Linked DNA regions of Rattus norvegicus. The protein of the gene in region 1 interacts with the protein of each later gene in a biochemical or structural test. Links are inferred from orthologs where the notes say so. Each region holds a gene or a part of one and is shown in the gene's direction. Other genes may lie near its edges.

Evidence for each region. The genes of interacting proteins can lie anywhere in the genome.
Region 2: of the proteins of Parp1 (region 1) and H1f5, one has a biochemical effect on the other in vitro, tested with the Homo sapiens proteins (2 studies listed by BioGRID). The link is inferred for Rattus norvegicus from reciprocal best matches to the Homo sapiens genes PARP1 and H1-5.

What each region holds. Positions count from the first base shown.
Region 1 is NC_086031.1:94,866,838-94,870,488, forward strand, and holds part of Parp1 (poly [ADP-ribose] polymerase 1), read left to right. Parts: intron 1-718; coding exon 719-817; intron 818-1,514; coding exon 1,515-1,667; intron 1,668-2,395; coding exon 2,396-2,523; intron 2,524-3,062; coding exon 3,063-3,124; intron 3,125-3,583; coding exon 3,584-3,651. UniProt on the Homo sapiens protein: Poly-ADP-ribosyltransferase that mediates poly-ADP-ribosylation of proteins and plays a key role in DNA repair.
Region 2 is NC_086035.1:47,420,770-47,423,420, forward strand, and holds H1f5 (histone H1.5), read left to right. Parts: upstream 1-1,105; 5' UTR 1,106-1,162; coding exon 1,163-1,831; 3' UTR 1,832-2,136; downstream 2,137-2,651. UniProt on the Homo sapiens protein: Histone H1 protein binds to linker DNA between nucleosomes forming the macromolecular structure known as the chromatin fiber. Histones H1 are necessary for the condensation of nucleosome chains into higher-order structured fibers.

The sequences.
Region 1 (3,651 bases):
GCCCATATAGCCCAAACAAGACTTCCAGGTGGCTAAACTGTTCCCTAAGCTTGCTATCCTCACCACTAGAGTGTGATGCCAATGCACCTTCTTAATGGGAAAGCGAAGATTCGTGGTGAAGAAGCTCCTGCTTTTAACTCTTACAAAGCTTGTAGTTGAGAGCACAGATAATCAGAATTCTTAGGTTTTCCAAACTTAAAGCAAGAAAATGTACAGAACATCTATAGCCTCCCGCGCATGGCTACGATGACATCACTGGTTAGTTGGGCATGCACTGAACCAGCTGTGGTACACATAGACAAGAGACTGTCCCCAAAACCCTGAGGTGGGGCTGGGGGATAGTTGGTGGTTAGGCATGTGAAAGGCCCCTTGGTCCATCCTTAGGACTGGGATAGGGAAAAGAAAATTGTATGATGTCACCTTGTGACATCCTGGTCTCCTAGACTCCTGGTCAAAATAGTTCCCTTGTTCCACCTCAGTAATGGTGAACCTCTGTTTCCAGCTTAACTCATAGTCTAGCATGAGGCAAGAACTTTGAGCTTCTCCTCTAGCAGTCTGAATGGATAAGTAAATATTCAGGCTCATGGGGCCCTGGCCTCGGCCTACAGGGTCAGTCCTGGGGCAGTATGAACTGCCCCTGGAGACTTCTAGGTTAGTATGTCAGTATTCTTCCTCTCTGGGTGTCTCCCTGCCCTAATTCCAGATGTCTGTTCTCCAGGTGGTTGACAGAGATTCTGAAGAGGCTGAGGTCATCAGGAAGTATGTGAAGAACACTCACGCGACCACGCACAATGCCTATGACCTGGAAGTGATAGACGTAAGATTCCTCTTCCCCTTTTCCGTCCTGCCAGGTCTCCCTAGCCCCTTCTTTCCTGGCTCAGAAAGCATGAGCCATTTGCTTTGTTTTGCTTTGTTTTTGAGACAGGATCTCTATGTACTCCTGGCTGTTTTGAAGCTCGCTGTTTACAGCAGGCGAGCCTGGAAAGGAGAGCTGCCTTCTCTGCCTCCTGAGTGCTTGGGATTAAAGGCTTGTGCCACAGCTGCCCAGCTGTACTATTAGTAAGCAGAGGTGACATGTTTGTTGTGCAGGAAAGTAAGTGGTGGTGTACAGTTGGCCTTGGCTTTTTCTGGGTATTGAAAGTGCCCCAGATTTGTCAGAAAATATGATTACCAGAAAGAAGTTCATGATAAAGTTCCCCGGGCCAGATGTGGTACACATCTCTAATTCCAGCACTCGGGAGGCTTAACAGACCAATTAGTTCCAGGTTAGCCCGGTCTACATAGTGAGAACAGTCTCGGAGAAAAGGTTCCTTAGGTGTGTCCCCCGATGTCTGTAAATGGAGCCTTGGGACACTTGCATTGGGTCATCCCATCCCCATCTGTGATAATGTGGCAGAGCTAAACCGTCCTAGCTCTTGTGACAGTGGTCAGTACCGGACACTCCCAAGTCCACTTATCCCTTCAGGGAACCTGAGTAACAATATCTGTCTCCCTTTTGCCAACTTTCTGCCCAGATCTTTAAGATAGAGCGAGAGGGAGAGAGCCAACGCTACAAGCCCTTCAGGCAGCTTCACAACCGGAGACTGCTGTGGCACGGGTCCAGGACCACCAACTTCGCAGGCATCCTGTCACAGGGTCTGCGGATAGCCCCACCTGAAGCACCTGTGGTAGGTGGCTGCCGTCTATGGGAAGTACAGAAGTACTTACTTGTTCCTGCAGTGATCTCCCCCTGAGAGTCCAGCCTGCAGCGGGCCCTGTCAGAAGGGAACAGGCTTTGGACCCAGGCATGCCTCTGCCTTTCCTCAGCTGGCAGCATCCATGAGCTCTCAGATTTCCACCATTTAAAAAAAAAAAAAAAAAAATAAGGGGTTGGGGATTTAGCTCAGTGGTAGAGTGCTTGCCTAGCAAGCGCAAGGCCCTGGGTTCTGTCCCCAGCTCCGAAAAAAAAAAAAAAAAGGACGACAAGGGATAGATGATGTCCCCTGCTGGGTTACAGAAGGGACTGAACAGGCCCTCTGAGATGCCATCCCAGCCCCTCACTCACTGTAGAGAGTAAAGAAAAGGAAGGGGCTTGGTGACTATAGCTCTTGTGCTAGGTACTGGTGTGTGGCTGGATGGTGACATCAGTGCTTGCTGGATGTATATATGTGCCTGGCTTAGTGTGAGTAGTGACTATTAACTCACTCACATTAGCCTTATGAGACTTCCTGGTAAAGAGAAAGTGGCATCCTTGGCTGTTGCATGACTTCACACAGCCTGCCTGTAAGCACTGGCCTTTGATGAGAAAGAGCTATCCCTTCCTCTTGGGAGGTGCTGGCTGTGGAGCTTAGCTGAGCAGCAGCTGTGGGGATTCACCACTGGAAGGTTTACCGCTGTCCCTCTTCCAACTCTCCAGACAGGCTACATGTTTGGGAAAGGAATCTACTTTGCTGATATGGTGTCCAAAAGTGCGAACTACTGCCACACGTCTCAGGGAGACCCGATTGGCTTAATACTGTTGGGAGAAGTTGCCCTTGGAAACATGTGAGTGTCCGGACTCTGAGCAGGGTGGGTAGAGTAGACTAGAAGGAGAATCTTTTTGACTTGTAAGTGCAGTAGACAGCAGCTCGGGATCGAGGGAGATTCAGAGAAGCTATGAAACCAAAGGCAGAAATGCGGAGGCCGAGACCTGGCAGCACAGTCCTTCTGCGGAACAGGGAGGCAGGGAAATCATTGTTCAAAGAGAAGATCTGATTCCTCCATCCTCTGGCAACCTCCATCTGGTGAGCTGTGACCAGAAGGAGATGGTGAAGCAAGCCATAGGGTAGACTAGACGGGAACCGCCAAGCAGCTGGCCACAACTCCAGACGCGCCCGCCCTTCTTTGGAAATAACCCCCCAGCAGTGGCAGCAGTTCCAGACTCCCTACTTGAGAAGAGTCAGGAGCTGGGGAGGGAGGTGCCAGGGTAAGGGTGGACAGAATTCTGTGGGCGCTTAGTTTCCATGCCAGTAAAGATGCTGAGGGAGTGTTGGTTGGGAGCCCAGTGACCAGAGGCTCTTCTGAGACTGTCCTCTTTTGAATAGGTACGAACTCAAGCATGCTTCTCACATCAGCAAGTTACCCAAGGGCAAGCACAGTGTCAAAGGTACTGTCCCCAGCCTGACATGGCAGGTTCGGGTGGGGGCGCCTTTCCTCCAGCAGCTGCACTCTCGCTACAGGAGGTTCATTTAGAAACAACTGCCTCAGTCCTTGTGTCATAATGCCATGCGAGTTCTGTGGGGTACCATGAACTAAGCAGGGCACAGGTCACTTCAGATTTTGAGCAGTGATATCAGGGCCCAGAGGACCTCTGGTGCACCTGGAATTATGGGTAGCATATGATGGTCAATGCCTAGGGTATAACCTCAGCTGGACCAATGTAACTTTACTGGTTTAGAATGTTGCCTTGGAACCTTTCTTTACAGTGTCTGTGTTTGCATCTAAAGGATGTTTAAAGTGAACACACACATCCTGTATCAAATAGATGTTGTATACCCAGGACATTTCCACACCTCCTGTTCCACACCCCCTGTTATACCTAACACTTGAGCCTTCCACCTTACAGGTTTGGGCAAAACCGCCCCTGACCCTTCGGCCAGCATCACCCTGGATGGTGTAGAGGTTCCGCTGGGA
Region 2 (2,651 bases), on another chromosome or scaffold:
AGAGTGTGAGTGATTGTGCTGTTCTTTTACTTTCAAAATCTCACTGGCCATCTATCTCATTCAAGGGCGGTAGAATCTCCTTGAAAATTCTTCTGAAAGTTTTAGAATTTTTCTTAGGTAAAATATTTTTTAAGGTAAGTATTTTCTGTCTCCAAATATCCCTAGGAAATTGTGAAAGCCCATTGATCAGAACCATATCTAATTTATTTTTACTTAGAATTAAGGTGATTGGCATCTGAAGTTAGTGATTCCTTTTTATGTGTTTGAGATATGTTTTAATTATTTATGTACATGAGGGTTTGCCTACATGTATATATGTGCATCACTTATATGTCTAATACTAGCAGAAGCCTGAAATCCCCTGGGACTGGAGTTATAATCAGTTGCAAGCTGTCCTGTGGGTGTTGGAAACTAAACCCAAATCTCCAAGAGTAGCAAGTGGTCTTAAATGCTAGGCTGTCTCTACAGCTCCTAAATATAATGATTTTCAATCTCTCTACTTCAAAGAAGTCACTCTCACACTAGAAATATTGCATTTTCCATTAAAGATATCAACCCTGTACAAAGTACTAGGAGTTTGAACTATTTTAAAGAGAGATATTTAAAGTGGTTAATTTCAGTTTGTAGCCCCTAGGCCTGTGTTATTTGCTACAGATACAAACAACGTTTTTGCCCAAACCAAAAGAACTATTAGTTTTACTCTTGAAAAAATTAAAGGCGGTATCTTTGTACAAATCCTCTTAAGTAATGTTCCTTGCATCCTTCGTATAAGTTTACGGAAACATGCAAGTAACTCTCAGGATGCTCTCTGCTCGGTGGATTTTTAGTAAACACTGGAGGGATTTTTAAAAATACCTTTGGTCAGTTGCGTGGGATTCAAAAAAGCACAACCAGGTACGTGAATCCGAAGGCTGTTCTCCTTTGGAACTCCAAACTGCCAATTTCTGTGGCATTATTTTCGGCAGTAAGTAAAAATTTGGTGACTAACAAACACAATTTGGGATTGTAACCTTGAGTCGCTGCGGCCAGAGGGCGGTGGATTGGACGTTCCACCAATCACAGCCCAGCACCGGCTTATATAAACCCGGAGCCTGAGCAAAGGAGCATTGCAAAATTTGCTCTTCGCGTTAGGTTTCCTTTTCTTGCAGATTTTATTCTCGCCATGTCTGAAACTGCTCCCGCCGAGACTACGGCTCCCGCTCCTGTAGAGAAGTCTCCCGCCAAGAAGAAGACAAAAAAAGCTGGCGCGGCAAAGCGCAAGGCCACTGGCCCCCCGGTATCTGAGCTCATAACTAAGGCTGTTTCTGCCTCTAAAGAGCGCGGCGGCGTGTCCCTGCCTGCTCTGAAGAAGGCATTGGCTGCTGGTGGCTACGATGTGGAGAAGAACAACAGCCGCATCAAGCTTGGGCTCAAGAGTTTGGTGAGCAAAGGTACCCTGGTGCAAACAAAAGGTACTGGCGCCTCTGGTTCCTTCAAGCTTAACAAAAAGGTGGCTTCCGGCGAAGCCAAGCCCAAGGCTAAGAAGACTGGGGCTGCCAAGGCCAAGAAACCTACAGGTGCCACCCCGAAGAAGCCCAAGAAGACTGCCGGGGCCAAGAAGACCGTGAAGAAAACTCCAAAGAAAGCAAAGAAGCCTGCAGCGGCTGGAGTAAAGAAAGTTACCAAGAGCCCTAAGAAGGCCAAGGCTGCTGCCAAGCCTAAAAAGGCGACTAAGAGCCCGGCAAGGCCCAAGGCGGTGAAATCTAAGGCGTCCAAGCCTAAAGTTACCAAGCCCAAGGCAGCTAAGCCTAAGGCTGCCAAGGTAAAGAAGGCTGTTTCCAAGAAGAAGTAAGCTTGCTTGTAACAGCAGCAAAGCCCCAAAGGCTCTTTTCAGAGCCACCCAGAGAACTCTGTGAATGTAGCTGTACACACTTTAAGCTCTCCCGGGTTGTTATCTCCCAATTGGGCCAACCAACTGGAACACCTTCCCGCCCTGATTTGGGCCCTGTGCTCAATCTACAAGGTAAGACGGTTTAGTCTTACCTATGGATAAATTGGTTATGTTGGCTGTTGGTAGTCTCGCGGCCCACTATGGTCACTTGGGACCTGTACGTGGGCCATAACTGCCCAGTGTGGAATAAAAGCGTTGTTAGTAGCCAACATTCACTTAGGATTAAGTGAGACCTCGCGCGAAAAATAACTCATTGGCTGTGTCGTATTACCTAAACCAATGGTACTCTGGTTTATTACTGACTTTAAACTTGATTGGACAGTCATTAGAAGACGTTTACAGATAACGCGGTATTCATCGCCATAGTCTGTTTAAAATGAAGCCAGTGCGGAGACCATCTTCCCTCCCCCTCCTTTAGAGTTTCCTTAACAGAGCTTGAGCTGGTGGAAGTCTCGGTCCGACTGGAAGGGCTCGTAGAAGGCGAGGGACAAGTATGCAGAACAGCAAGAGGTGGAGCCAAAGCTGCAAGGTCCTGAAGCAGGCCCCCCAACACGGGCATCTTTTCCAAAGGCTGTGTACAAATTTCCACTCTCAAGTCATTTACGCTTTTTTTGGAGCCTTTTTGCTCAGTTCTTCCATTGGAAGCACCCAGACACTGAAGTCCCTTAATGAACGGTCCTTTTGTGTTAAAGGTTTGTTAATGTAGTAATGGGTGTGACAC